4 linked regions of the Caenorhabditis elegans genome follow. The protein of the gene in region 1 interacts with the protein of each later gene in a biochemical or structural test. Each region holds a gene or a part of one and is shown on either strand. Other genes may lie near its edges.

Region 1 (8,552 bases):
GTCCGAGTTTTTCCACCTGCTGATTCTAGTGTTATAGCTTTTATATGACGTTTCATCCATCTGTTTCGACAATACAGTAACCCGTCGAGAATGAATATTCGGTTCTCTATTTAGCTGCAATTGAATCTTGAAAACACAAAAATTTCAAATTGAGCGAATGTGTGGCTGAGAACCAACGTTCACTCCCTTGCTATCGAAACTGCACCTGTTGCGATTTCGTGGCGAGACCCGAGGAAATACTCAATTAATAAATACAACGGTGTCAATCCCACATTGACTGATCTTGCAAATATCTTTCTTCATTGTGTCACTTTTTTTCAGAAATGCAGTTTTTCCATTAGTTTATAGTGCCCAGCGAGTAGTATATCCTCAGAAATGTTGATCCTCATGATTATAAGGTCATTATCGTTTCAAAACATGAATAGTCATAACTTTTCTCTCACAAACTTTTCGAATGTATCCTAGAACTGCTGAATCTCACAGAAACCTAAATTACGAAATCAGGTTCTAATTTTTATCAAAAATTTACAAACCTACGAGAATTCGATTTAACTTGAGAATGAAGAAAGACGCCAACTTCAATTGAAATGCACCGAATTTAGTTCAGGTTACTATCATTTGTATTCTAGATGCAAAGGAATTCACACTTCCAGCTGATATAGCGCTGATCCTAACACGATCCTTTCAACATCTTAGATTTTCGTTTAATGTTTAATCGGAATTTATATTTAAGGCCTGTAGAAATTTCCTAGAAAACGCTATAGAAATATTTAGCTGATTCTCAAGTTTTAGGAACGGGCGTCTTCCTGGTAGAAGATAGTTCGCAGCCCATAAAGACAGCACCCGGCCTAACCGACAATGGCGGTTATGAATTTTTAGACCATTTAAGGTTATGATGGCGAGACCACAACAACCCGTCGCCACGCACGTCACGCTCACAAAACACTCATTCATGCGCTCACGGAACGCTCACACACTCATGACATACACACATCATTTCGCCTCACACACCGCGCCGTCGCCATCCGCACCGCCCGGGTGGGACGTGTTCAAACTTTTCGGTTTTCGTAATTAATAGTGAGCCCCGGTTTATTCGCTTTGAGAATCAGTATAATGGATATATCAGATTGTGTAATTAGGTTGCGTGCTTGAACTTTTAAAATTAACTGTTTTAAATTTATCTGCCTTTATCGTTACAGTAAATCATTTTGATGAACTTTTCGGATGAATCATAATGAAGTACGCAGCGCTCTAACAAAATGTGTTTGTAAATTCCAATTGCTACAAGTTGCCCGGCTTATTTTTTGGTGATTGAAGCATGATTCTGTTGACGCTCCCGACGCGGAATACCAGGACGGACCGATGAGAGAGTACTGCCAGTGAAGAGACGCATGCGAGCAGGACGAGTGCTGCTCACCCTTCTTCTCAGCGTCGGCGGCTGCGACCAGCGGCCGAGGAAGGGGAGGAGAGAGGCCGATTTGGCTGCGTACCACGTTTGATACTCAGTCACTTACCACAGCTGGTTCTCTTGTGCGTTCAAATCTGGCTTGCCGCGCGCGCGCATTTTATTCCTACCAGTTTGAATCTCCCACCTCTCCGACTGTAACTGTCCTAATTTGCTTCCTTCTCATCACTCTCTCTTTGCCTATTTCTCACTATCTAGACTCTATTTTTCCAGAATGGTCACCGCCGACGAGACGGTACTCGCCACAACGACCAACACCACTTCCATGTCTGTGGAACCAACGGATCCGAGAAGCGCTGGTGAATCGTCCTCAGATTCGGAGCCAGACACAATTGAGGTGAGGAAAAGTTTTGGGAATTTAAATCTGAATAAAACGTTTTCAGCAGCTGAAGGCAGAACAGCGCGAAGTGATGGCCGACGCGGCGAATGGTTCCGAAGTCAACGGAAATCAAGAGAACGGAAAAGAGGAAGCGGCATCTGCAGACGTGGAAGTGATCGAGATAGATGACACCGAAGAGTCTACGGATCCCTCACCTGATGGATCTGATGAAAACGGTGATGCTGCATCTACATCGGTTCCAATCGAAGAGGAAGCGCGTAAAAAGGATGAGGGGGCTTCCGAAGTGACTGTGGCATCATCTGAGATTGAACAAGACGATGATGGCGATGTTATGGAAATCACTGAGGAGCCGAACGGAAAGTCGGAGGATACTGCCAACGGAACAGGTGTGTTTTATAATTTTACCAAGTTTAATTTTAACTTTCTATTTTCAGTTACTGAGGAGGTGCTAGATGAAGAGGAGCCAGAACCTTCCGTAAACGGAACAACTGAGATCGCTACAGAGAAAGAGCCAGAAGATTCTTCAATGCCTGTCGAACAGAATGGGAAGGGTGTGAAGCGGCCTGTCGAATGCATCGAACTCGACGACGACGATGATGACGAGATTCAGGAAATTTCTACCCCTGCCCCAGCTAAAAAAGCTAAAATTGATGATGTCAAGGCGACAAGCGTTCCAGAAGAGGACAACAATGAGCAGGCGCAGAAGAGATTGCTCGACAAGCTGGAAGAGTATGTGAAGGAGCAGAAGGATCAACCATCCAGCAAAAGCCGAAAAGTTCTGGACACTCTTCTCGGAGCAATCAATGCGCAAGTTCAAAAGGAGCCTCTGTCGGTTCGGAAGCTGATCCTGGACAAAGTTCTCGTTCTCCCAAACACAATATCATTCCCACCAAGTCAAGTTTGCGACTTATTGATTGAGCACGATCCCGAAATGCCTTTGACGAAGGTTATCAACAGGATGTTTGGAGAAGAAAGACCAAAGTTGAGTGATTCCGAGAAACGAGAGAGAGCTCAGCTGAAACAACATAATCCTGTTCCAAATATGACAAAACTGCTCGTGGACATTGGACAGGATCTCGTTCAAGAAGCTACCTATTGTGATATAGTTCACGCGAAGAATCTTCCAGAGGTGCCAAAAAATCTTGAAACCTATAAGCAAGTCGCTGCGCAGTTGAAACCAGTTTGGGAGACATTGAAACGCAAAAATGAGCCGTACAAGTTGAAAATGCATCGATGCGACGTCTGTGGATTCCAGACGGAATCAAAGCTGGTTATGAGCACTCACAAGGAGAATTTGCACTTCACAGGATCCAAATTCCAGTGCACCATGTGTAAAGAGACGGACACGAGTGAGCAAAGAATGAAGGATCACTACTTGTAAGTTTTTTTTTTTTCATCTTTCAATATTCATTTAATTACAGCGAAACTCATCTTGTTATTGCAAAATCGGAAGAGAAGGAGTCCAAGTATCCATGTGCAATCTGCGAAGAAGACTTCAATTTCAAAGGTGTCCGTGAGCAGCATTACAAGCAGTGCAAGAAGGACTACATTCGCATTCGAAACATCATGATGCCGAAGCAAGACGATCATCTCTATATCAACAGATGGCTCTGGGAGAGGCCCCAATTGGATCCCAGCATTCTTCAACAGCAGCAACAAGCTGCTCTTCAGCAAGCTCAACAAAAGAAGCAACAGCAACTTCTGCATCAACAGCAAGCAGCACAAGCTGCAGCCGCTGCGCAACTCTTACGGAAGCAACAATTACAACAGCAACAACAACAGCAACAGGCTCGTCTTCGTGAGCAACAGCAAGCGGCCCAATTCCGGCAAGTGGCTCAACTGCTGCAACAACAATCAGCGCAGGCTCAACGTGCACAGCAGAATCAAGGAAATGTGAATCATAACACTCTGATTGCAGGTAATAGCTAAACATATTTTAAATAAGTATTTTGTATAATTATTTATATTTCAGCAATGCAAGCGTCGTTGCGTAGAGGTGGTCAACAAGGAAATTCGCTGGCAGTTTCTCAACTTCTCCAAAAGCAAATGGCAGCTTTGAAGTCGCAACAAGGAGCTCAACAACTTCAGGCTGCGGTGAACTCCATGAGAAGCCAGAACAGTCAAAAGACGCCAACACACAGAAGTTCGAAACTTGTTACTACGCCGTCTCATGCTACTGTTGGCTCTTCTTCAGCTCCCACGTTTGTATGCGAAATTTGTGATGCGTCAGTGCAGGAAAAGGAGAAGTATCTACAGCATCTTCAGGTAATTTTAAGAAACGTTTCTATTTCAATTTCAAAACCGATTATTAAATATCTTAAACATCACATTTTCAGACTACTCATAAGCAGATGGTTGGAAAAGTGCTGCAGGACATGTCGCAAGGAGCTCCACTGGCATGTTCTCGATGCCGTGACAGATTCTGGACTTATGAAGGGTTGGAGCGGCACTTGGTGATGTCGCATGGTCTCGTCACTGCTGATCTGCTCCTCAAAGCGCAAAAGAAGGAAGACGGAGGTCGATGCAAGACATGCGGCAAGAACTATGCGTTCAACATGCTTCAACACTTGGTAGCTGATCATCAAGTGAAGTTGTGCTCGGCTGAAATCATGTACTCGTGCGATGTGTGCGCGTTCAAATGCTCGAGTTATCAGACTCTGGAAGCCCATCTCACTTCAAATCACCCAAAAGGAGATAAGAAGACATCAACACCAGCAAAAAAAGATGATTGTATTACTCTGGATGATTAATAGGAAAACGAATGGCTTATCCCGTTCTACGAATGAGTGCTGGAAACATTCTTCACAATGATCTCAATTATTTCTCTTATTCTTTACATTCAATCATTTTAAATCACCAGTTCTCCCACTTTCATTGATATACACATTCTATTGCGGGTTCCGGAACCGAAATCAATCAGTACTTTACTTTATTTCCCCAATTTTTCTCTTCATGATATCTGGTTTATTCTCGCATCTTCCCCTACCTTCAAAACTCCCTATTTTTTTTTCAAAACCTAACTACCCCACAATTATCATGTAAAATCAAATTGCAATTCCCCATAAGACAGATCAGTATACACTTTCACTTCATACGTCTGTTGTTCTCCCCCATCTCATACTTTTTTTACCATTTGTCCAGTTAAGATTTTTGGAAGATATCTATCATATAAATATTATCACCTTTACAAACCATTCTTTTTGAAACTATTTTCAGAAATAAGATTCAGATTTTCTCATAATATTTGGAGGAATCTATTTCAACAGATACGAAAGATATTCAGACAAATGACAGACTCCGTTGAAATCTGTGCTGCTGTCATCACCGGTTTTGAAAAAGTTGCAGCAAAAGAGGTAAATCCTGAAAACTAGATAAAATATCTTACTCGAGTTCCTTCAGATTTCAAAATTATTTTCGCCTAAAAAATGCCATCCAGGACGTGGAAATGTAAGATTTTCAATAGATCTGGAACGTGTAAACGAGACTCTGCAACTTCGATCAATCGATAATCTTTATATGGTTTTTTATGAAGAAACAATTGAAAAGCTGTCTGAAATGCAAAAAGAAGATGCATTGAAAACTATTCAATCGCAAATTTCATTTTGTAACTGGAAATTGGCAATTGAAGCTTATCAATTGGCACGTGGAAACGCGATTAACGGAGGAAGTGAAAAGATTTTGAAACAGATTCAACAATTTAAAAAAGATCGAATATATAGTGAAGTTACGGACGATTCACCCAAGTTTAGGTAATTTTTGAAATCAATATCAAAAATCCTTATTAAAATTTTCAAAAAAAATTAAAAATTCGAAATTTTATTGTGGTTTTAAACTGAAAAAATTTGGTACATCTCACAAAAATTACAATTCAAAATTTTAGTTTTGAAATAAAATTTCAATTATTTTTTTTCCTAATAATTTTTATTTTTCAAAAGTTATGATGACTTTTTTTTCAGAGTAACATGCAAACGATGTGGAGAGAAAGAGATTCACAAATTCAGTTCAATGGATGCTGCTTCGAAGTTTGGAGCTGAAATTAATAATGCTTTTGGTTGGAAATGTAGTGTCAAAGAGTTCGATATAGAAGTAGTATTAAGGATTGATCGGAATAATGTAAGATCGGTGTACCTGCAATTTTACAAAATGAGATAGTGTTCTCCCAATCAATGGTGGAATTTTTCGATTTTTTTCAGTGAAAATCGAAAAACGAAAATTTTTGATTTTTCGATTTTCAAAAACCAAAAAAAAAATTCAGAAAATCAACCATAAAATATGATTTTTTTTAAAATCTAATATATTGATATTTAGATAAGAAAAAACATAAAAATTTTCTAAAAAGAGGAATAATGACCAAAATATTAAGATAATTTTTGAAAATCGAAAAAACGATAAAATACATTTTTTAATTTTTCGATATTTGAAAAATCGAAAAATTTTCGCACCCTTGCTCCCAATATCTCTCATTAAAATTTAGGAATTTGCTTTATCTGAAAATAGCTAGCATTTTAGTTGGAAAAAATTTTCAGATAAATCAAATTTTTTAAATACAGTATTCTATCAAGAACTTTTAATGAAAAAAATTGGGAAAATATTCCACGCTGGCTCATTTTGTAGAATTTCTGGTCAGCTGTTTTCTTTGAATTTCTTCTAATTCATTCATATTTTCAGATGACAGTAATGATGGCTCTGAACGAAGAATCTCTATTCAAACGTAATATCTGTGCGTATGGACCAACTACAATGAGATCTACAATGTGTCATTGCATGCTTCAATTAGCTGATATAAAACCAGGAGATATTATTGTCGATGCAATGTGTGGAGGTGGCTCTATTCCGATTGAAGGGGCAATTTCATGGAAAAATTCATTATTTTTGGGTGGAGATAATCATGAGATGGCAATGAGCAGATGTCTACAGAATTGGGTAAGAAAAAACGAAAATTTGAATTACCGCGGGTTCGTCTCGAAACTCCGCCCATTTCCGTGTTTTTATCATTTTCGGCGTAAATTATTCGTTTCGTCTCGCATTTGGCGTTCGGCAATTTTTTGTCGACAAATTCAGCAAATTGCCGATTTGCCGTTTTCCGAACATCAATTTGCCGAAAGTCTTTAGAGGGATAAAACTGTGCCTTTTTAAAACATTTCCTGTTAAAATTGAAATTCCATAATTTCACAAAAAATGTGCAAAACCATAGTTTCCCAAAATTTTTCGGTAGATTGCCGGTTTGCCGATTTGCCGGAAAAATAGTTGTTTTTTTAAATTAGAAGCAAAACGAAGAATTTGTGTCGAAATTATTTCAAAAATGAGTAGATTAGCCACAATTGAAAATTTGCCATTTTTAAATAATAAATATTTTAAGTCGGCGAATTCATCGAGCTCCCGATCAAACTGCGACTTTCTCACTTGGGATGCTACAAATCTTCCACTACGCGATAATTCAATCGATGCACTTGTCACGGATCTACCGTAATCATTTCAACGATTTTTCCACTTAAAAACATTTATATTTCAGATTTGGCAAGAAGATAGGAAGTACCACAGATAACAGGTTACTGTACCCGAGGCTTCTCGCAGAATGGAAACGAGTTTTAAGGAAAGGTGGACGATTAGTCTTGATGACTCATGATAAACGGAGTTTAGGTATTGTGAAAAAACTTTAAAAACCAGAATAATTATTTAATATTTGTAGAAAACTCATTCCTAAAAGATCGGTCTTCATGGCAAACTGACGCGTCTCATGTTGTCAACGTTGGTGGATTATCATGTCTTTGTATCTGCATGATAAATAGAAAATCTGATTAGATTTCAAATTTTTAACATGCTTGTTTTGTTTATAAAATTCAATGAATAAATCAAAAATTCATTGGCTGGTTTCACATAAAAGGCACAAAATTTAAAAGTGAACATGATCAAATAGAAGACACCGGTTTGAAAAGAGAAATGGCGAAGATGGATGAGAGGAATCACGAAAATCTAAACTCGATGAATGAAGTGCAATGATTTTTTATTGTTATTATTATTGATTTTTTCGATTGTTGGTAGTTGAGCAAAATGAAATAATACCTATAAAAAATTGTTCAAATATATTTTTATTTGATTTAATACTTACTTCACTTGCATTCACTGCTTTCAGTACATCACTGTTACATCGAACTGATTTTGCTTTCGGTGGAATTGGTTGAAAGAATATTGAACTTTGAGTGGGAACGCAAACTGCACGAGTTATTCGATCACATTCGGATTTCTGAAAAAAAAAATGTTTTCATACAAATAATTTTTATCTGAAACTGAGGTAGCTACCTCATGTTGTCAACGTTGGTGGATTATCATCCACCGACTTCCTCTAGAGCCTGAAGCACTAATTTTGAATTCAATCCGTCACTTTCAAATTTATTTAAATTTTTAGGCATTTATTTAAATTTTTAGGCAATTTGGGTCAAACTGTCTAATCTTTCGTAAAAATCAAAAATGAGCGGTGCAAATCTCTTGTCAGTAAATCTACAAATCTGACTTTCAAACTACAGAATTAAGAGACATTTGAGACAAATTTTATTAGAAATTATGTGTCATTTCGTTAGAAAGCATTTAAAAGCCATGAAATACAATTTAAAACAAAATGTTTTTTTTTAAAATTTCTATTGTAGTTTTGCCAATTTCTGAAACGCAGTTTTAAAGGCGCATGGATTTATTCAGATGGGTCTCGCCGCGAGAACAAGTTTCTGATAGCGGGTTACGGTCTCTTTTTTA
Region 2 (7,792 bases), on another chromosome or scaffold:
TCGAACTACTTTTAACTTTTTTATTCAAGTCAATTCTTTGATTAATTTTCTAACAGTTAACTTTTTTTAGAAATGCCACAAATTATCCAAAAGTTATTCACTTTTTTCAAGAAATTCCTGAATTTTTCAGTATCTCCCAGAAGTTTCTTGAAGATTCTAAAAATATCCAGAATTTTCTTAAAGTTACTCAAAGCAAAAAATTAAGTTTGGAATTTTCCGCCAAGACAATGTGTTTTGAAATTTACAAATTTAAACTTCGGCGAATTTTGTTAAAATCTTAACGTTCATTGCCTGCTAAAAAATATTCTGAAGGACAACAATCGATTTAATTTTTTTTTTTGAAAATCATGCATTTGTCTTGCAGTTATGGGTCTCGAAGCGAATAGGAAGACTAAACACTATACGATACTAACTATTTTTACAGTAATCATACAGTATCAGCACCACTACAGTACCCCCATATCCCTCCACGAACCTCAATTCAATATCACTTCAAAAGACGAATTGTCAATTTTTCCAACACTACCGTACTCCTGCAGTTTCCATGCAGTCTTTACTACAGTAGCTCTACAGTAATCCTACACTCCTTCTACAGTACTACACACTACAGTATCTCGACCACACCCCTTTATTAACTTCAACCCTATATCACTTCAGAAGACAAAAACTCAGTTTTTCTGAAACTATAATCATCCTACAGTACCCCAATCACATCTCTTTACTAACCCCACCCCAATATTCCTCCAAAAAACTTGAATGCAAAAAAAATTTTGTATTTAAACAAATATTATGACGTGCACGGAAAACTAAAGTAAAGGTATAGCTTTCTTAAGAACATAATAAAATGACAGGAACTTATTGAAAATGAACTATTTTTCAGCAGACTGTGCAATGCATTATAATCCAGATTATTCGTTGTAAATGTTTATCCAATTCGATTTAATATTTATCAATTTTATTTAATTTTGTTCCTTTGCGGTCTATTTTTTTTATTATTTTCGCAATAAATCACAATAAAATATTCTAAAATTCTACCGTACTCCTTTAAAGGCGCATATATATTTTGAAAAAAGTTTACAGACCTACTAGTCTTTAATTTATCCGTGTTTTTTTTTTTAATTTTTGTTTTTAATCGATATTGTTCTTCAGATTCACAAAGTTTGAATATGTTTTTTTCATTAATAAAAGATTTCTCTGAAAATATACATATGAAAACTATCGCACGGGGAGGCAAAGCTAACGTGGCCGCGAGAGCTGCGCCGGCTAGGCCACCGCCTCCTATGGTTAAGAATTTTGATCGAATAAACATTTTTAATTTGACTTATATGCTTATTTTTCTTTGTTTTTTCTTGTTTTTTCTTGTTTTTTCTTGTTACTACGTGGAATAAGCATAATGTTTTCAGCTAATCTACGCAAACCGCTTCGAAATTCGATGGATTAAACCGGACAAAGGCAAAAAACGTCGAAAAGTAAGTTATTATTCAAAATATCTCGAAAAAATATGGTACAATATTTCTGAAAACCTACTCAAATATGGAAAAATATGTGCTGATTCCGAATTTAAAAGTCTTGAATCTCAATCTCGCGTATTTCATATTTAGTTTCTCGATTTTAGTGAAAAATTCGAGAAATTCAGTGCAATTTCGAATTAAAAATTAAATTTTTCCAAAAATTATGGTACAATATTTCTGAAAACCCACTCAAATATAGAAAAATATATGCTGATTCTGAATTAAAAGTCTTGAACCTCAATTTCGCGTATTTCATATTTAGTTTCTCGATTTTAGTGAAAAATTCGAGAAATTCAGTGCAATTTCGAATTAAAATTTAATTTTTCCAAAAATTATGGTACAATATTTCTGAAAACCCACTCAAATATAGAAAAATATATGCTGATTCTGAATTAGTAACATTTGAAACTCAATCTCACGTATTTCATAATTTTTTTTTCGATTTTAATGAAAAATCTAGGAATTCAGTGCAATTTTCGATTTTTTTTTCAAAATATTTTCTCTTAATGTTTTTATAATTTCCAGATATTACGTTGTCGCTGCATTGGAAGATTTCAAGACAAAATTCGAAATAGATGCGAACAAGAAGAAGCTGTTCGAAGTATTAATAAGGAAGGTTAAGCAGCAATAAGTGCTCTTAAGGGCTCAAGTGCCGCAGAAGAAGCCAAAGAAAGTAGGACTGCAAGATCAACTGCTCAATCAGCCACTATTTGAGAAGAAACTACAAGTCAGATCGGTCCGAAGGCAATCAAAAGTTCCAAGCAGAAGAGGTGGAGCTCATGGAAGAGGTTGGAAAGCACAAGTCTGAAGTTCATGAAGCACTCGGCGATTTGGTGGATACAAGATGTGTGATCGAAAATTTCAAAAAAAAATCTGATCAAAATCTTTGAAGCAATTCCACTCAGCAACCAGAATATTGGATTCGTTTCCGAGGATAAGTATGTGGATTTTCTTTAAATTTGAAAATTTAGAAGTTGATTTTCAGGTGCAATGGTGAAGGAGCTTCAACATCGTTCAACGAGGAAGCCGTTTTCATGCCGTACCTGTTCAATTCCGTAAAAAAAAAGTTCGTCTTATTGCAAAGGAGCAAAACTTCGATGGAATTCTTGAGGTGTTACTTATTTTTTAATTTTTAAAAATTAAAAATTTCTAAATTTCCTAGAAATGCGACACGCTTCGTGAGAGGACCCTCGCTGAATTGGGAGCCCGACTCGTGGATCGAAAGTATCAAAACGTTGTGAAACTCTTCGATCGTGCCACGTTGCTCGGTAGCATGATCAAAAGGACGCCGAGAAGAAGTGATAGGATAAGGAGACGACTGCCAAGAAGATCAAGCCATGCTTGTTCTTTCTAATAATGTTCTTTATATTCCGTTCCTGTTCAGATTTTTTATTCCCCCTCCCCATTCGGTTAATGTTCTTCTCTCTCATTTCCTTGTTCAGCATATCTACTTAGTATCCCTCTCTGACGAGTTTTATATTGGTTTTCGAGACAATGAATGTTTTAAACGTTATATTGATGTTATTAAATGTGTTATTCAGTCAATCGGAAGAAAAACTAGATAAAAACAAACTATTCAGCTAAAATTCATCGAAAAAAGAGGAAATTTTCGGTTTTTCTCAGAAAATCAGTGGAAACATAATGAGAAACATAAAATATGCACTTTTTTATTTTTTAAATTACTATTCTGTATCACAAAACATTTTTTTTTCGACTTTTATTCGCTTAAATAATGAGAAAAGCGCTTTTAGCCAGAGCTGATATTAACGAATTGTCGTCAAATAAAATGCGCGTACGCAGAGTACGCAATAGTGTACAAAACTTATTCGCGTTGAATATTCAGTCAGCCAAATGGGACTACTGTAGAAATTTCTTCAGCCACGTTAGCTTTGCCTCCCCGTGTATCCGAAATTCCTCGGGTCTGCAATCCGACGTGACGGTGTTTGCACACAATTGCCGGCGCTTTCGAAAAATAATTTTTATTTATTTATTTTTGTTTTTCATAGATTTTTATGAGTTTCTCAAGGAGTTTCGAATTTTTTCGTGGTTTTCAACTAAAATTTTGTTGAAAAATCATTATTCATCACTTAATAATTTCAATTTTCCTGTAATTATCCAACTTTCCAGATAATGTCCGTGGAACAATTCATCAACGACCAACTACACTCAATCGTGGGTATCAGCGATCGATCAATATGTCAATACGTGCACGCACTAGCAAAAAAGGCGAAAAGCGCGCCGGATTTAGTGGAAAAACTGCGTGACGCCGGAGATTTTCCGATTTCCCCAGCGATCCAGTCATTCGCAGATCAGCTGATGAGTCGAATGCCCCGGCAGGCAACTTCAGCGCGACAACGTGGTCCGACAACAGCAGAGCTTGCCGAGCAGGAGCTAAACCGTCTGAATCGGGCGGTCGGAGTGTTGGAGGATTATTCGGCGAGCTCCACAAAAACCAAAAATGTCAGAAAAAGAAAAGAGAGCAGTAGTGAAGACGATGAAGCTCCGATTAAAGCTAGTAAACCAGGAAAATCTGTGAAACCTTCAAAATCCGACGATTCTGAGTCCGATATAGAGGCGATGGAGGCAAAGCTGGACGCAGATATCGCTGAAAGAGACGCCTTGGCAGCACGAATTAACAAAAAAGAAAAGGATAAAACTCGAAATGTTATGGAGAAAAAGCGAGATGATAACAAGGACAAAGAGGGTTCCTCCATGGACAAACTCCGAGAGGAGTCCAGAAGGCAGTACCTGAAAAAACGAAAAGTCGACAAGCTGGAGGAACTGGAGGCGATAGTTCACGATGATCAAACTCTATTCGCTAGGGAGAAGCTCACGAAACGTGAAAAAGCGGATATGGAGTACCGGAAAAAAGTTCTCGAATACACGAAAGCCCATGGAAAAGCCGGTGACGTCATGAAAATGAAGAGATATCATCTGCCGGACGCCTCAACGAAACAGATCCCTTCACAGTACGTGGAGGATGATGAGGAGGACTTCAGGCCAGGCGGTGATGGTGCAAAGTGGGAAGAGGAGCAGCTGATGGCCTCGATGCTTCACCTGGGAGCCAAGGATGCGAAGCGGAAGGAGCAAGAGTTTGAGCTGTTGCTTGATGAGAAAGTGGACTTTATTCAGGCTCTTCAGATGCCTGGAACCAATGAGGAAGTAGTAGAGACAGAAGCCGAGAAAAAGAAAATGTCAATTGAAGAAACGAGAAAGTCGTTGCCGGTCTACGCATTCCGTGATGCTTTCATCGAAGCTGTTAAAGAGCATCAAGTGCTCATTATCGAGGGAGAAACCGGATCGGGAAAGACGACACAGCTACCACAGTATCTTTATGAAGCTGGATTTTGTGAAGGTGGGAAGCGTATCGGATGTACGCAGCCGAGACGTGTCGCCGCAATGTCGGTTGCCGCTAGAGTTGCTGATGAAGTTGGATGCAAGCTGGGCACTCAGGTTGGGTGGTTTTTGGAAATTGGCGAAAATAAACTAAGTTTCATTCTAGTCGGAAAATTCCAAAATTTAGAAAAAAAAACTGGAAGTTAAAAAAATTTGGGCAATTCTTTGCCGCTTCTAAAAATTTTTAAACTTGTAAAAAAACGAGGAAAACAGATTCCGATTTTTCTTTCGAAACGCTTCCATTTTCCAGGTCGGCTACAGTATTCGTTTCGAGGATTGCACATCGGAGAAGACTGTCCTCAAATACATGACAGACGGAATGCTGCTCAGAGAGTTTCTCAACGAACCCGATTTGGCTAGTTATAGGTAATTTTTAGAACATTTACAAAAACAGCAAAAAAACCAAACATTCAGGATTTTTGTTTTTAATTAAGAAAAAAATCGATCGCTCTTAAATTTTAATCAATACTTCGAATAAACCCAAAAAAAAACGAAAAAAAATCCTGTTTCCAGTGTAATGATGATTGACGAGGCTCACGAACGTACTCTACACACGGATATTCTATTCGGTTTAGTCAAAGATATTGCAAGATTCCGAAAGGATTTGAAGCTTCTCATCTCTTCTGCAACACTTGACGCTGAAAAGTTCTCCAGTTTCTTCGACGACGCTCCGATTTTCCGAATTCCGGGACGCAGATTCCCGGTGGACATTTACTATACACAGGCTCCCGAAGCGGACTACGTCGACGCGGCTATCGTCACAATTATGCAGATTCACTTGACCCAGCCACTTCCCGGCGATATTTTGGTATTTCTGACTGGTCAGGAAGAAATCGAAACTGTACAGGAAGCACTTATGGAACGGTCGAAAGCACTGGGATCGAAGATTAAGGAGCTTATTCCGCTGCCGGTTTATGCGAATTTGCCCAGTGATTTGCAGGCGAAGATTTTCGAGCCAACGCCGAAAGATGCGAGAAAGGTAGATTTTTCTTACAAATTTTTTCCAAAAAAAAATCCGAGAAAAATCTACAAAATTTCAGGCAAAAACTGTTTCATTTTATTCCTAACTAGTTTTTTAGCAAACGTTTAGATTTAACAAAACTGAACAAATTTGAAGTTTTCCAATTTAAAAAATAAATGTTTCGGAAAGTTTATTGAAAAATCTGAAATTGCTATCCTCTCGTATCTGCAAAAAAAACACTTTAAAAAATGCTCTGTTCTTTGAAAATTTCTAAACTGAAAAATTTGAAATTTCTGAAAATTGTGATAATTTTATAAAATTTTATAGAAAATGTAAGCATTCCAGAAAAATATCAAAAATTTCGAGAAAATTCTGAAAAAATCCAGAAATATTAACAGAAAAAAAATCTTTTGAAACATCTGAAAATTAAAATAAATTGAATTTACATTTTTTTTTTTGGGATTTCCTTAAAATCACTATGAATTTACCACTAAATTTTTTGCAAAAAATTATTTTTTTAATTTCAAAGAAAAAGCAAAGAATTTTAAAATATCAAAAAGTCCAAATTTGGTTCGGTGAATTTTTAAAATAACATTTTCAAGATAATTTTAAGTTAATCAAAACATTCCACGCATTTCTAGTTTCCCAAATTTCTCTAAATTTCAGGTGGTCCTAGCAACTAACATTGCTGAAACTTCAGTCACAATTGATGGTATCAACTATGTAATTGATCCAGGATTCTCGAAACAAAACTCATTTGATGCACGAAGTGGTGTTGAACATTTGCATGTTGTCACTATTTCCAAGGTAATTTTCTTTTTTTTTCTCTTAAACTTGAAAAAAATTACTTTAAAAAATTAAGCTCTGAATTAATGTTCAGATAAATAGGAAAACTTCCAGAAAAATCTATAAGATTGAAAAAATAAATCAACTAAAAGATTCCAGAATAATCTGTAATTTTATTGAAAAATGGAAAAATTCCATAAAAATCTGAATATTTAAAATATCATCAAAAACTTTTTTTTTATTTCTTGGAAAAAATCTGAATTTTTTCTGAACAATCTAACAGATCAAAAAAATTCTGAAAGGTTTCAAAAAGTCTGTAATTTTATAGAAAAATGTAAAAATTCCAGAAAAATATGAAAATTTCGAGAAAAGTCTGGAAAAAATCCAGAAAAATCTAAATATTAATAGAAACATCTAAAAAGTCATCAAAAAACTTTTTTAAATTTTTTGGAAAATCTGAAAATTAAAATATCTCAAATATTAAAGAGGAATCTGAAAAAATTTTAAAGATTTTAGAAAATGTAAATTTCAGGCTGCCGCAAATCAACGAGCCGGTCGTGCCGGTCGTACTGGACCCGGAAAATGCTTCAGACTCTACACAGCGTGGGCCTATAAGCATGAGCTCGAAGAGCAACCGATCCCCGAAATCCAGCGAACAAATTTGGGAAATGTGGTGCTAATGCTCAAGTCACTAGGCATCCATGATCTCGTTCATTTCGATTTTTTGGATCCTCCACCACAGGAGACGCTTGTCATTGCACTCGAACAACTCTATGCTCTCGGAGCACTGAATCATCGTGGAGAGCTGACAAAGTTGGGACGACGAATGGCTGAATTTCCGTGTGATCCGTGTATGAGTAAAATGATTATCGCCAGTGAGAAGTATGAGTGTTCCGAGGAAATTGTAACGATTGCGGCAATGCTTTCGTGTAATGCAGCTGTGTTTTATAGGTTTGTTCTGGAAGATTTATGAAAATAATTTTTTTTTTTTGCTGAACCGAAATTTTGCATAAAAGTGAAGTTTTTTTAAAAAGTTGGAAAAAGCTTTTGGAAAAATGGCAAAATTGAAGAATTTATATAGAACAACTGGAAAAATAATTGAAAATTGAAGAAAATATTGTGAAAACCATTTTCCAAA
Region 3 (7,740 bases), on another chromosome or scaffold:
TTTTCGAAAACTCTGTATCTCAATTTCCGCATTTATTTTAGATCATGCCGTTATGGGACAGTCTGACACCACCACTGCAACTTTTTCCTCACGAGGGACGAGGAAAAGTGGTTTCTAGGCCATGGCCGAGGGGCCGACAAGTTTCAGCGGCCATTTATCTTGCTTTGTTTTCCGCCTGTTTTCTTTTGTTTTTCACAGCTTTTTCCCGTTTTTTCTTATTAAAACTGATGAATAAATACTTTTTGCAGATGCTAAAACAATTTCCAAGTAAAAAAATTATGTATTCAGTGGGCAAGCAGCGGTGAAAGTGGTCAATGCAATATGATGGATTACGGGAATACAAAACCTATACTTTTTCTGAAACATGATACATATGATGCTTAGATGCTGAAATTACCTGATTTTCATAACGAGACCGCTGAAAAAGTTTTGAGGTTTTCAAAATTCAACTTTTTGTGCGAAAATCTCGACTTTTTCACCAAAAAAGTTGAATTTTGGAAACCTCAAAACTTTTTCAGCGGTCTCGTTATGAAAATCAGGTAGTCTCAGCATTTAAGCAGCATATGTATCATGTTTCAGAAAAATTTAAGGATTTGTATTCCCGTAATCCATCATATTACAATGCCCACTTTCACCGCTGCTTGCCCACTGAATACATGATTTTTTTTACTTGGAAATTGTTTTAGCATCTGCAAAAATATTTATTTATCAGTTTTATTAAGAAAAAACGAAAAAAAAATCGATGAAAAACGAAAGAAAACAGGCGGAAAACAAAGCAAGATAAATGGCCGCTGAAACTTGTCGGCCCCTCGGCCATGGCCTAGAAACCACTTTTCCTCGTCCCTCGTGAGGAAAAAGTTGCAGTGAACACGTGCAAAATGACAACAAGATGGAAGAAAAATTAAATTGAAAATCGTATTCATTTTGAAACAAAAAAGTCTATTCTGGGTTCAAAAAGAAATCGAAACGAAAAAATTTCGCAACAAGAATCATAGTTTGTTCTCTTCGCCTTGAAATACACTCTCACATACAGGTGACGCAGAGGTAAACTGTGATCGGAAGGAATGATGGTAACCTGACTATATTGTGTGTCTGTGTCTCTTCTCTTTTTTTTTTTGTCTGCCTGTATATATTTACACAGCGCCAATAGACCCAGATCGAGGAGAGAAATCGTTGTTTTGAGAAGGTTTTTTAACATTCGAAAATATTAGGAATCGCTGTGAAAACTGAGGAATTTTCCTGCAAAATAGGAGTATTTTATTTGAGAAATTGATTTGCGGAAGATCTCTAAAAGTTACATAAAATTGAAAGTTTTGTGGGGAAATTGTTTTAAAACACGCCTATGGTAATACGAGAACATAAAATTCTGAGAATGCGTATTACACAACATATTCGACGCGCAAAATATAACTATATCTCGTAGCGAAAACTACAGTAATCCTTAAATGACTACTGTAGCGATTGTGTCGATTTACGGGCTCGATTCTCGGAAAAAAAAATCATTTTTCAAATTTTGACAGCGATATTCAATTTTTCTTCGTTTTTTCGTATTTCTCAGTCATTTTTGTGCTTATTTTTAATATTTTATTCATTAATAAATTAATTTAATTGAAAAACGTCCAGACGTATTTTTACATTTCCCGTCTATTTCCGTAATAGGCGGTTAATAACGTAGAAATACGTCTGTATGAGTTTACTCATCAAAATGACACGAATATTGGACGTTTTTAAATCAAATTAATTTATTAATAGGTAAAATATTAAAAAATAAACACAAAAATGACAAAGGAATAGGAAAACACGAAGAGAAATTGAGTATCGCTGTCAAAATTCGAAAAACGTGGATTTTTCCAAGAATCGAGCCCGTAAATCGACACATTCGCTACAGTAGTCATTTAAGGATTATTGTAGTTTTCGCTACGAGATACTTTGCGCGCCAAATATGTTGTGAAATACGCATTCTCAGAATTTTATGTTCCCGTAATACCACAATGACCGAATATCATAATAAAAAAATTCAAAAACAATTTCTAGATTTTATATGATTTTTTGAAAATTGAAAAAATCTCAGTTTTCACCTAATTATATTTGAATTACCGCCAATTGAACTCGTTCGTTGGAGCGCGCTTGCATTATTTTCATTAATTAATTTTATTAATTTTCATTATTTCACTGATTTTCTTCATTTTTGAGGTTTTTTTTATCGGGAAATGAAAGAAATATACAAGAAAAATGCAAAATGTTTATTAAAAACTGAAATTAGTATTTCTCGGAGTTTTAGGCATTTTCAGTTACTTTTTAATAAAGATTTTGCATTTTTCTTGTATATTTCTTTCATTTTCCGATTAAAAAACCCCAAAAATGAAGAAAATCAGTGAAATAATGAAAATTAATTCAAATAACTAATGAAAATAATGCAAGCGCGCTCCAACCAACGAGTTCAATTGGCGGTAATTCAAATATAATTAGGTGAAAACTGAGATTTTTTCAATTTTCAAAAAATCATATAACATCTAGACAATTTTTTTGAATTTTTTTATCATGATATTCGGTCATTGTGTCCCCATAGGCATGTTTTAAAGCAATTTCCACCTTTAAATAAAATCGAGAAAAAATGGCGTCAAAAGACATATGTAAAAGCTGTTTCTCTTTGTATATTCACACAGAATATAGCCCGATTTTGGAGGTGAAAAACCGGTTTTTTTGTATTCTTTACGCCACATAAAGTGATATGGAAGAGAAAATCGACATATTTATGTACTTGGAGTACGAGTACATTGGAGAAAAAGGGTGAACTACTGGAAAATCTGGGAAATTTCAGAAAAAAATTCCGAAAAATCTTTTTTGCTGAAAAAAAAATTTGTTCGAAATTTGGGAAATACTGGAAAATTTTCATCAAAATTAAAGCGATTTTTAACGTTTTTGCTTGGGAGATACTATTTGTAATTTTAATGTTTGGTGAGGACAACAGAAATGACCTTCAGCGTACGGAAAACGATTAAAAGACACATTTGAATCGAAAATAGCGTGAAAAACATGAAAATATCGGAAAAATAGCTTTAAAATTGGATTTGAAAGCAAAAAATGTATCAAAAATCGAGAAAAATGCTTGAAAAAGTTGAAAAACTCAAACAAAAAATCAAAAAAGGTTTTTTTAAAAATCTGTGAGTATCGCAACGAAAGCACAACTTGAGGCATGCGCCTTTAAACCAACCGTAACCAAATTCGGAGGCAAAAAAAGATTTCTCGCTGTTTTTTCAGTTTTAAAATCACTTTTCACGTTTCTTTTCGCAGTAATTCGTTTGCAAAACATCTGAAAAAATTTTATTTTATAAGAAATTATATAAAAATCGCTATAAATTGAGTTTTTGCCCCCAAATTCAGCACGGAGCACTTCTCAATTAAATATAATTTTATTTTTTAACATTGAAAGCTTTCATAAAATTGAGCTTTGTTTGTAAATAATCAGTGAAAAAACACAGAAATCTTCAAAAAATAAAGAAAAAGTTTTTAAAAATCTGTGAGTCCCGCAACGAAAATAAAACTTTAGGCATGCGCCTTTAAACCAACCGTAACCAAATTCGGCGGCAAAAATGGATTTCTCGCCGTTTTTTCAGTTTTACAATCACTTTTTAGGTTTCTTTTTGCAGTATTTCGTTTCCCAAACAATTAAAAATCAAATTTTCTTTTCCAGATGGCTCAAACAAAGCCGATTGCCGAGCAAATGGCTGCACTCAACAACTCAGATGACACGTCGTTCGCTGCCGATCGATCGAACAGTCTTCTGAATGCGACGTGCCCGGCGAGAATTCAAAATTCAGTAGATCAACGGAAAATCAATCGATCATTCAATGATTCGCTGTCGTCCGGATATAGTGGAAAATGGCTTCGTCCAAAGCGTGAAGCGCTCAAGATCACTCCATTGGCTCAGATTGACGAGGCGCCGGCAACTAAAAGACATAGCTCGGCGAAGGATAAGGTTTTGATTTAAAAAAAAAACTGAAAAATATGCAAAATCGATTTTTTTTCCAGCACACAGAATACAAAACGCGACTTTGTGATGCGTTCCGCCGTGAAGGATACTGCCCGTACAACGACAATTGCACATATGCTCACGGACAAGATGAGCTGAGAGTTCCGGTGTGTCTGAAGCCTGGAAATCTTTGGAAAATTTTTTTTTCAGAGACGCCGCCAAGAGTATTATTCCCGAGATCCACCACGTGAGCGCCGTGATTCTCGTTCTAGACGAGACGACGTGGATACAACAATCAATCGATCGAGTTCTTCAGCATCGAAGCATCATGATGAGGTGCTGATCGGATGGAAATTCGCTTTTTTGACAAATTTTCGCAGTTTTTTCGCTAAATTTCATTTAAAATATGCTTATTAACACATTATATCACTATTTAGACGAATATCTTGTAGAAATGTTGGGTTTTGTTCGAATTTTCTCTACTTTTTGAGTTGCTTCACGAAGAAATTGTGTTCTCTTTCATTGTACAGAAGAATCTATGTTTTACAAGGGAAAAAAGTAAGATGGTGCAACATTTTCTCGTGAATCGACTCTAAAAGTAGAGAATTATCGAACAAAACCAACATTTCTACAAGATATTCGCCTAAGTACTGATATTATGTGATAATAAATGAAATTTAGCGAGAAAATACTGCGAAAACGCCTTTTCAGACCCAAAACCGCCTAAATTTCTCGAATTTTCAGGGCTAAATCATTTTAAAACTCCAATTTCGCTCAATTTTCCGTGTCGAGACGGTCCGAAGTTGATTTTCTGGAATTATCATCCTTGTTTTGCATCTTTTAGTAGTTTATCTCAAATTTTTCCCGCCTGCAGACAGATTATGTGAGATAAACTACCAAAATGTGCATTAAATTATGATAATTCCAAAAAAAGTCAACTTTCGGCCGATGCGGCACGAAAAATTGCCAAAATTCGAGGTTTTTAGCTAAAATTATCAAAACTTTGGACAAAAATCATCCATTGCGCAGCGAATTTTTGGGGTTATACGTTCAAAATGTTTATTTTAAAATGAAATTTAACGAGAAAATATAATATACTGCGAAAACGGCTTCTCAGACCAAAAATCGCCCAAAACTCGAATTTTCAGGGCTAAATTGGCTAAAAGTCTTCATTTTTGGCAAGTTCTCCGTGTGGCGACGGAAAAAAAGCCAATTTCTGGCAAAATTGAAGATTTTCAGCTAAAATTAACCCTGTTTTTCAAAATTTTGAACAAAAATCGTCAATTTCAGCGAATTTTTGAGGTTTTACGTTGCAAAAATCCTTATTTTTAAGTGAAATTTAGGGAAAATATTACAATATTTTACTTCCAGAATCGGAGACCCAGCAACAACCACGGAAGCTCGAATCGTCGTCAGATTTGTCACAATTTCGAGAGAGGAAACTGCAGATATGGTCCAAGGTTCTAGGAAATCTGGAATTTTTATTAAAAATAAATAAAATAAATTTTCCTTTCAGATGCCGCTTCATTCACGTCGAACAAATGCAACATTTCAATGCGAATGCGACGGTTTACGCGCCACCTTCTTCCGATTGTCCGCCGCCGATTGCCTACTACCATCATCATCCACAACATCAGCAACAATTCCTGCCATTTCCAATGCCATATTTCTTGGCTCCACCGCCGCAAGCTCAACAAGGAGCTCCTTTTCCAGTGCAATATATTCCACAGCAACATGATTTGATGAATAGCCAGCCAATGTATGCACCAATGGCACCGACATACTACTATCAACCAATTAATTCGAATGGCATGCCCATGATGGATGTGACTATTGATCCGAATGCCACGGGCGGTGCGTTTGAAGTGTTCCCCGATGGATTCTTCTCTCAGCCACCACCAACTATTATTTCCTAATTTTGCCGTATTTTCCATATTTTGTTTTGTATATTTATCCACTCACCCCCTCTCTTTGTCCTGTGAATGAACTTGTGCCAAAAAAGCCAAAAATAATTTACTTTTTTTAAAGACATATTAAAACTTGAAAACTTGGAACAATACGGTGCGAAAGCGAAACAGAGACAGAAAAATGAACAAAGAGATCCGTGAAAAGTGAACGATGATTTAGGCTTCTTGTTGGGCGGCGTGGATGAGAGTGATGTTGTCTCCTTTGAGAAGAATTCTGCCGATCTTGTTGCGTCCCTTCGTCTTCATGTTCACCTCCTCGGCTTCGTCGAACACGACATTCATGAACTCGTCGAATCCGATGATGTAGCCCTCGAGACGGTGGGTGACATCCTCGTACAACCAGATTTGGACCCGAGTGCGGTTTTGGAGATATCTGAAATTTGGGAAATTGTTTTCTACTGATTAGTGAAAAAATATTACCTGAAGATGAGGTTCACAGGCTGAACCATCACTTTGTTGAGCTTTCTCGTCGACATTTTTGCGGGATGATCTGTAAAAATCAATATATTTTTTGAAAGACACAAATTTTTAAGATAAATATCAAGAAAACTCGATTTTAGCAGCTATTTAAGCTCAAAAACTACAATTTATGGCTTTAAAACATAATTTTTCACATTTTACATAAATTTCAACGAAAAAAAATGCCAAAAAACTTCAAATTTGAGCAGAAATCGGCTATTTTCTCGACAAAAATAATTTCGAAAATTCGTTCAAAAAAGATGAGTACGCAAGCACCGTGACGCACAGTTGCGGACTTTGTAAACCGTACCCCTGCATAAAAAGGCGGAATTTTGAATTTAATAAAATGCAGTTTAGAACAAAGAAAAGCACGGAGAGAATTGTGATAACTAATTATTTGTATTTAATTTTAAATACTACATAAAACTGAAGATTGGAACGAGTTAAAGCTGGTATTTGCGGTTTATAGCCCCAAAAGTTAAGGCTTGTTAGGCAATTATCGATAAAAACAACGAGAAATTCGTGAAATCGGCAAAAATTTATAGAAAACGTTTGAATTAAATTAAATTTACGCTTTTGCCGCCAACACCTATCGAGACCCTAGTTATAGGGGCGGAGCGTCATGGGAGCGCGCTTGCAACTCGATTTCAAAAAGTTTCGCTGTTTGTACAACATTCTCAGTTGTTCTTAATCAGTTAAATAAGTTTCAAAATTTTCAAAATCATAAAACACAGTTAATGCTAAATTAAAGTCTAAAAAATCAGGTGATAAGGGGTTTGGACGACCAAAAAGCGACCTTCGCTCGAAAATTGATAAACTAACTACACTTTTTCCGGAAAAATGATGGAAAAATCCTGATTTTCTTCGTTGAATCAATTTTTGTTTCATTTTTAACACTTTCACATGAAATATTTCAGTTAAAATGCTCAAGCTAATTGGGTTTCTTATAATTTTGGGTCTCGCAACGGCCGACAAGTGCTCAGATTGTTTGGCTCAGGGGAAACAGTGAGTTGGAAGCTTACAATTCTGAGAATTCGTATTGCGCAGCTTATTTGACGCGCAAAATATGAAATATCACGTAGCGAAAACTACAGTAATTCTTTAAATAAGACTACTGTAGTGCCTATGTCGATTTACTGCCTCAACTTTCTTAATCAAGCTCGTAAATCGACACCAGCTCTACAGTAGTCATAGTTTTCGCTACGAGATATTTTGCGCGTCAAATATGGTGTGCAATACGCATTTTCAGAATTTTATGTTCTCGTAATATACCTTTTTTCAGCTGGTGTGTTACTGTAAATGCATGTGGATTTACGCCATGTGTCACTACAATTACAGTGA
Region 4 (7,567 bases), on another chromosome or scaffold:
TCCTGCCGTCTTAATCTTCTCCTCCTTACGCTTGCGCTCCTCACTTATTCATTCAACCATCCAACGACCCATTCACTCATTCATTCAGTCAGTTCTCGGTGGGAGGCCTTTCCCTCTGAACACAGAGAGACACAGAGTGAGCGCTCGCGGTGGTTTTCGGAAAGGAAGATGATTGTTTGTGTGTCAGATAGATATGTGTGTGCGTATGGCTGTTGACTCTTTCTCCTCCTTCCTACCTTCCTGTAGTTGAATAAGTGCTATTTCAGAGTTCATCTCTAACAAATTTCAATACTAAATCTAACTTTGCTACCATCAATTTGATATATGTATACGCGACAATTAAGTGGTTTTACGGATTTGCCACTCAAGACACACAGATGTCTTCTTCTCAGAGCAGACGTTCCTAGATTCTAGATTCTATGAGAAATTTGCTCGCACTTTGTCCATTTTGCTCATCTTCTTTTCCTTTTTTTTCTACTTCTTTTTCTTTTTTCTGCTACTTCTGGAATTCACTTACTGAATCATTCACTACTCTTTCCTCCTCTTTTTGCCAGCGTAATGTAGTGGCTCCTGATTGACTTCCTCTTTTTTCTTTTTTCGCCTCAAAAACCGCGAAACCATTTCCGTTGGTTGCATAAGCCGGCGAACACTCGTCTCCGGAATTCAATGGTTTACTGGATCCCAAGGGGCACTTGTCGCTTTTCTATCTCTTATCCTCTATTCCCTCTATTCATTTTTACAATTTTAACCTTTTTTAAATCCAATCCATTCTCACTTTCCTCCCTGACACATATCACAGAGTTCTCGCTTAATCATCAGCAAGACACATGTGGGAGATCAAGAAGCAATCCACAGATATTAGATGTAAAAAATAACACGAAACTAATCAAAGCTGAACGTGTGTGTGTGTGTGTGTAAAAGACACGGCAATTAATATCGTGGCGAGACCTTCTCTCTTTCTTTTACCGCTCCCGGGGTCCTCCTCAATTCATCCGCTCCTCGAGACGAAGACGTCGACACAATCGGTGTTTATTTTTGCGACGTAGGGCAATTTTACTCGCAAACATATGAGAGGGGAGGCGCCGACGACACCCGGGCGGGCGGCCTGACGAGAGGTTTAGATAGCGGGGGAAATAGAGAAGTTGGAATGAAGCGGCTGCTATTGCTGCCACCGCACGGCAAGAAGCGGACACAATTCAACCCGAAGATATTTTTTATGTGCACCTAGATGAACTCTTTTTGCAAAACCTCTCAATTAGTAGACCTTTGAAACTCAACAACGTTTGGACGAACCTAACTTGACACCGCCGCCTTTTTCTCTAATCTTATCTGATGAAACAGAACATCTGATGTTATCACAATCAATCAAATCTTATTCATCTCTACGAATTCGTAAATGTTTTCACTTACATATAAATTGGAAGAAAAACGGATTATCGTTCCAGAGATCAAAAAATGATGTGCCTCCCCTTTTTTGCAATTAATCCTCAACTCGTATTTCTCTTTGTATGTCTTGAAAATTGAAATTTAGACAGTTTAGTTGTTATCACGTCAGTTTTGTGTATTCCACTTGAACTATCTATCTGGTTGGTTAGTCTCCTCCCACCCATGAGTCTTTCATTTATGTTTGTCTAGCCTGACAATTGACCTGACCACCAACCATCAGGTCTCTCCCACGTTTTGTATTTTTATTATGCACATTACGAACTGTGTGAAAATGGCTGTCGTATCATAATAAATTTTGGAAAAAGAAAACATCTGAAATGTTGCCAGTTCTTTGATTCTCAAAATGTTCAAATGATATTCATAAGACTCTCATCTTGTTTGCCATATTGTCATTAGCAGGTCATCCTCTTCTATTCAATTCTGGCTAATCCCCCGTTCCCCCTTTCTCTTATAATTCATCGTTCCTCACTGTTTGGTTGAATGAAAGAGCACAACAACACTTGTAATGAGTTATTTCATATTTTGAAAAAGTTGCCACGTCATGGAAAGCCAAGACACAGTGGCGGTCTGCTTTGAGGTCGTCACTGTCACCGTCGAACTGTTTTTGATCGCAAACATACATCGGTTGTCTCGTCTCTCGGGTTGTCTCTCTCTACCTCTCTCTCTCTCTTTTCCTTCGGTGACTACCTCTCCTCCCTTCCCGCCACACCGTCCTCCCCCTTCCACCGACTATTCCACCTTTTTGTGGTATGTACTAGCACTATTCTCTGCGTCTGTTTTACAGTTCTCATTCTCTCACACACACTTATTTTTCCCCAATTCTTATGGTAGTTGAATGTGAGTACAGTGTCCACTAGGATCTAGACTTCAGGACTCATTCTGAAAGTTGAGCCGAGGTCACGTGTGAAAACTGAGCTCTTTTCCTACACCTTGCCCCTTCTTGACAATTGTCGTTCTTCCTCTTTCTTATCATCACTTGACTTTTTTGAGCGACATGCTGGACAAGACAAGTCGTTTAATGGATGATGTTGCGATTTACTATCATCTGTTAGTATGCGCTAAGTAGGTGCGAACGTATGACGAGTTACAGTAATTTATTAAGCTTGAAGGTTTTTGAAGGATTTTATGAAGTTTGATCAAGTTCTTGAGTTAAGTAAACATTTTCTCTTGTGATCTTAATTGATTGTGAAAATAGTGAACAATTCAAGTTCTTGAAAAGATTTGATTTGTGTAAGTTAGAAAATGTGTGTTACCAATTACTGTTGTATTTGACTTCTAATGGATCTTCCGAGTCAATCAGATTCCTTGGCGCTCGGTGGTCCTGCTCCTGCTGCTAAATACACCAAAATATTTGATGAATGCGGTGCGACGGCGATGCCGCCAATGTCTCTTTTCCTAACGGACCAGTCGTGTATGTGCTCTGTGTATGTGCCCCACTAACCGACGACGACGACCCTCGCCCGCCCCACGCCACTCCCACACCCCACCCCGTCTTCATCCCTTTCCTCTCTCCCGTCTTCCTTTCTTCTATCCCTCGGTGCTGTTCTAGTTTGTGTTTTTACTAGGCTCTAGAGGGTTCCGGAGGGAAAGAAAAAAGAACTTCTGTGCTTTTCATCACCATCTTCCTCTCTCATCTCATCTTTTCATTTTTTATCCAGCTGATTTTCGTGTGTTCTCAATGATTCAAATTAAGACCAATTCTTTAGGATAGTTCATCATTTTTGGGGGAGCAAACTGGAAAAACTAAAAAAGGCAACAAGACAAAGATGAGCCGCTTTGACAGCCAGTGCAGTAGTGAAGACGTCAACAAAGAGGACGAATGTGTGCCGTCGTCATCTGAGGATAGCCAAGGTAATGAAATTGTAACTGAACCGTCTCTGTGTCTTCTTGTATGTCATGTCAACCTAGATACGGGTATTCCCAGTGGGGGCCGTTCTTTTAGAAAGATGGCCCCATCTTCACCAGCGTAAAATGTTATGATTCTCGCTGCGGATTAGCGCTTAGCGGATTAGTCGAACAAATGTACGAACACATAAGAAGACACATGCGGCAATTCTTTTTTGTAACTTTTGATTGTGTGATCTAGATTCTAAAGACCGCCTACTTGAAATAATTTAAAATATAAATTATCAAATTTCAGACGGCGTTTCTTCCCCAATGGAAAACGATGACGAACCAGAATTTTCCCAAAAGCATTACGATATTGAACCATGTTATTATAGTCTTACAGGCAAATCGGATAGGAATTGCCGTGGAATAGTAAGTCATTTTTTAATTCAAAAATCTGAAATTTGAGTAATTTCCTGTACTCTTTAATAGTTATAATCTGAATAGACATCTTATGTATGCGTATCTTCTTCCCCTTCAATATCTCAACACTCGAAAAACCAATTAATTGTCGTTCTGTCGAGTTTTTGGAAGAGACACAGACATTTAGGCAGTTTAGTGTGTAGGGGAGGTCAAAAGGAAGAGGAGACGCTGGTCATAATTCAAATTCTCTCCCGATTAGACGAACATCGCTACAAATAGACAAAAACCTGGATTTCAATCTTTTTTCACCCGTTTTTTCTGCGAAACGTTTTGATGGCTAAACCTCAAACATTGCGCTTACACACACACACATTGCGAGCTTCAAATCGAGAAGAACCAGATAGTCAAACACTGAGAAGATCGCGAGCCGAAAAAAAAACCGAAGTGACCTCTCTTCTCGTTTCGTCAAAAATTGAAAATTGAACTTTGACTAGATTAGTTGTCAGTCGGCAGCATACTTCCTCGAATTGTGCGCATGTTTTCCAAAAAAAAGCGAAGCGAGGCAAAAACAGCTGCCCAATTTTTGATCTGAAATTCGAGACAATTGCTTTTTTCTGGCTGGCAAGGAAAGCAAAGTCAACAGAAGTTTTCGGAGACCCCAGAGAGATGCTTCTTCCCTCAAGAGAGTACAAACAAAAGAGACGCTTGAGAGTTAAAAAGATAGATACTATGCGACAATAGACACACAAACACAAAAAAACATTTTTTGCCGCATTATATGATTTGTTTGTTTGTTTTGAAATGTGCGCTCATAATATTTCATTCTCTCACAGTTTAGTGTTAGTTGGCATTGACCTAGTGTGAGACGAGGTGCCAATTGACAACTGAAGCTAATGAGAGGAGAGACGCAGACGACAAGTACAAGTGAACACTAGTTCATTTCACCTCAAAGATACAGAGAAACCGGAAAGATAAATAAGACAGACTAGTTTCTAATATAATATCGTTAGTTGAAAGTTTGAAACATACAAATCTACTGATTTACTAAACATATTTTTTCAGGTATACCGGTATCGACAAGACAGTGATCTAAAAGGGTTTCAATCACATGATGGCACATTGTACAGGCTACGAGATTCAGTATTCGTAGAAGTGTCACAAAACGAGCCGTATGTGATAGCGGCAATATGCGGATTTAAATATGTGAGTAATGAGATCGTGAGGCATGTCAGCAGATGGTTCTGCCATATTAAGGTTTTTGAAATAATTGTTTCTTGGAAACTTGTTCCTCAAAAATCAGAACCACAATAGATCAAATCGTTCCACAGTGTTACAATGAAATATTTATATAATGGGCAACACTCAGTGAATGTAGCGATAAGATAACAAATTCGGCATTTAAAAATTAATGTTGCGAGAAACCGGGTGATGTTTGACAATTTCGAAATAAATTGATAGAAAAGGGGGTTTAAGGACAAATTGAACTTTTTGGAAAATGAAAAATGAGGTTTTCTTTTTGAAACTAGAGATTCTTTGATACTTTATAATCTCTGCTGACCTCTTCTCAAATTCCAAACAACTATCAATTTACTTGTTCTCTATATCTCTTCATTCCCTTGTTCCTTGAACTACTGGTTTAGAGGAGGAGAGAACCGCACTTGTGTAAATATTGACACAGTTTTAGTGGGTTCATGTATTCCCTTCATGTTTTCCTTTCGACTGATAGCACTGAATACTTTTTTAAACATAAAAGTATAAGGAAGATGTCATTGAGTCATTTGCCCACTTGTTCGTCCTTCAGAACCCACTAAAAACCGTGTCATAATCGGATTGCGCGGGAAGTCGTTGAGAATTAGAGAATGCATTGAAAGTGAAAAAACATAAACTTTTTAATTCAAACACTTTTATAGTATCATCACAAAAACATACATTTTAGTATACACAATAAAAGTAGAAAGTTTGCTCACTTTTATGAGCTGTGAGAAGAACATAATGTTCCTCTTTGTTGTTGACAAAGCACATTCACGTGACCAACTGATGAGCTTATTTTAGAATTTAAATAGGAAATTGGGATAACTAGTTTTTAAAGCCAAAATTCTAAGAGCAACAAAATTACAATATTTTCTAGTTTTGACAACGCAGGGATAATTTTTCTTCTGGATTTTCAAAGCCGAAAACTGAGTTTATCAAAAAAGGTAAATTCCTTTGACAGGGCTACACATAGTATTCAAAAAATGATAAGAGATTATATATTTTTCAAAACAAAATAAAGAATACCAATTTTCAGACAAAACGAGATCACGTGGTAGTGAAACTTACGAGGTACTTCAGAGCAGACGATATACCTGAGATATCTTTAAATTTAATGAAACAAGAACGAGCTGAGCTTGAAATCAATCCACATTTATGTCCAGTTAGTTTAATTTTTAAGATTTTCAGAATTACTCACATTTATTTTTCAGCAATCATTAAATCGAGAATTATTTAATTCGGAATTACAAATTACACAACCAGTTTCATGTTTAAGGTGAGTTCTTTTTTAAATTTAAAATACTAAAAAAATTGAAATTAAAATAACTTTAAAATAATTGAAACACTGGAAAAATTCTTTGCCCCTTGACATGATTCGTTTTCAAAGTTAAAATATTAGAATTTTGAAAATGAGTTCTCAAGTGCCTCAGAATTTTCCAGGTTTAGGTGGTAGGCGTCAGAACTACCTGCCTACTTTATCTTGGCAATTCTCATTAATACTTATTATTTGCAACAATTATCACGTGGTTTCAGCCATTAATTATTTTTCCGTTCGTTGAGATCTATCAGTTTTGGCTACTCAATCATCTTTCACTTTCCTTCCGATCTCTTTTGTCCTCTGTGTGTGTATGTGCACATTTCCCCTGGGACCGAATTAATTGATGTGACGAAGAGAGCGCGGACGGGGTGGGAGTGTTGTACGTGTTGGAAAATGGTGGAAATAGCGGCCGAAACATCAATTATTCCACTTGTTTATCGTCCTCGTTTCACCATCAACCTTCTCATTTCATTTCCTCGTTGTTTTAATAACTTGTAAAAACAAGACGACCCCGTTTTTTGAGCTTTTCCGCTAATTTCTCCGCCTGCGTTCTCTGCACTCTCTCGAGCTGTTGCAAGCTCAATTTAATAAAAAGGCACCCGCTGCTCGGCCACCCGATTGGAAGAGAAGGATGTCGGAAACGACCACAACACAACAAATCACATTTTTATTGCAAACTTTGTGTTCTCTTCCTCCCTCTTTTAACTCTTTCTTCTCGTTTACATATGCGCAACATTTCTTTTTGTAACCAAGACGCCGTGGCTCTTGTCGTCTGAGCTCTACTCATTTTCCAATCAGCTTGTTCGTTTTTGGATGTATTAAGCTTTTCCAGCTTATCCAGATAATCTTTTGATACCTTTGAATTACCACACTGATTTATTTTTCTCTTTGACGTTGTTTCTACACTACACTCGTGTTTCTCAACACACTGGTTAAGCATCTCGTATTTCAATGTTCCAAGTGTGCCACCGCCATCTGCGTCCGGTCGTCGACTTCTTTTTCTTGGCCTCCCCGTCATATGACGCGGCAAACCGGAGAGAGTGTATTTCCGTCTCATCCCTCTTTTCCTCTTCGCCATCACCATTTCCTTAGGTTTTTTGCCTCGTTTTCGCGATGTCTACGTCTATTTTTTGAAACGAATCCCTTTTGGCAGGTTGCCAACAATACTCTTTTCTCCCTCTTTCTCTCTTTTTTTGGTCTATTTTTGAGCGCTCCCACGAATTTAATTGCAAATTTTGTACTTTTTTTAAGAATCTTATCTTTCTCTTTTTTCCAAATTAATCGTTCCAAATTTGGAAATAA

Evidence for each region.
Region 2: the proteins of mep-1 (region 1) and mog-4 form a complex in vitro, tested with the Caenorhabditis elegans proteins (one study listed by BioGRID).
Region 3: the proteins of mep-1 (region 1) and pie-1 form a complex in vitro, tested with the Caenorhabditis elegans proteins (one study listed by BioGRID).
Region 4: the proteins of mep-1 (region 1) and egl-27 form a complex in vitro, tested with the Caenorhabditis elegans proteins (one study listed by BioGRID).

Annotation. Positions count from the first base shown.
Region 1 is NC_003282.8:11,522,964-11,531,515, forward strand, and holds mep-1 (MOG interacting and ectopic P-granules protein 1), read left to right. Parts: upstream 1-1,678; 5' UTR 1,679-1,679; coding exon 1,680-1,802; intron 1,803-1,848; coding exon 1,849-2,191; intron 2,192-2,239; coding exon 2,240-3,182; intron 3,183-3,226; coding exon 3,227-3,723; intron 3,724-3,777; coding exon 3,778-4,070; intron 4,071-4,141; coding exon 4,142-4,555; 3' UTR 4,556-4,991; downstream 4,992-8,552. Other genes in the region: thum-3 (THUMP domain-containing protein), read left to right, coding at 5,093-5,158, 5,205-5,554, 5,762-5,918, 6,474-6,728, 7,165-7,271, 7,318-7,445, 7,495-7,607; M04B2.7 (uncharacterized protein), read right to left, coding at 7,779-7,868, 7,915-8,049. UniProt on the Caenorhabditis elegans protein: Has a broad role in development, specifically in the genetic pathway SynMuvB that negatively regulates specification of the vulval cell fate. Required for fem-3 3'-UTR-mediated repression in the regulation of the sperm/oocyte switch.
Region 2 is NC_003280.10:14,557,446-14,565,237, reverse strand, and holds the start of mog-4 (putative pre-mRNA-splicing factor ATP-dependent RNA helicase mog-4), read left to right. Parts: upstream 1-3,638; 5' UTR 3,639-3,641; coding exon 3,642-4,964; intron 4,965-5,157; coding exon 5,158-5,273; intron 5,274-5,420; coding exon 5,421-5,886; intron 5,887-6,082; exon of another isoform or gene 6,083-6,252; intron 6,253-6,534; coding exon 6,535-6,675; intron 6,676-7,186; coding exon 7,187-7,605; intron 7,606-7,792. UniProt on the Caenorhabditis elegans protein: ATP-binding RNA helicase involved in pre-mRNA splicing. Operates during embryogenesis.
Region 3 is NC_003281.10:12,423,199-12,430,938, forward strand, and holds pie-1 (Pharynx and intestine in excess protein 1), read left to right. Parts: upstream 1-3,694; coding exon 3,695-3,979; intron 3,980-4,032; coding exon 4,033-4,140; intron 4,141-4,183; coding exon 4,184-4,309; intron 4,310-5,344; coding exon 5,345-5,433; intron 5,434-5,489; coding exon 5,490-5,889; 3' UTR 5,890-5,997; downstream 5,998-7,740. Other genes in the region: snr-6 (putative small nuclear ribonucleoprotein E), read right to left, coding at 6,097-6,313, 6,361-6,416; Y49E10.16 (Fungal lipase-type domain-containing protein), read left to right, coding at 7,322-7,404, 7,682-7,736. UniProt on the Caenorhabditis elegans protein: Maternally provided pie-1 is required for germline cell fate determination. Functions as a repressor of RNA polymerase II-dependent gene expression in the developing germline. Required for expression of nos-2 in P4 germline blastomere cells.
Region 4 is NC_003280.10:6,831,869-6,839,435, forward strand, and holds the start of egl-27 (Egg-laying defective protein 27), read left to right. Parts: upstream 1-3,152; 5' UTR 3,153-3,212; coding exon 3,213-3,297; intron 3,298-3,586; coding exon 3,587-3,705; intron 3,706-3,718; exon of another isoform or gene 3,719-3,825; intron 3,826-4,758; coding exon 4,759-4,899; intron 4,900-5,983; coding exon 5,984-6,109; intron 6,110-6,158; coding exon 6,159-6,223; intron 6,224-7,567. UniProt on the Caenorhabditis elegans protein: Transcription factor which promotes stress survival and delays aging. Required for cell cycle progression and development of the mesodermal and endodermal embryonic lineages.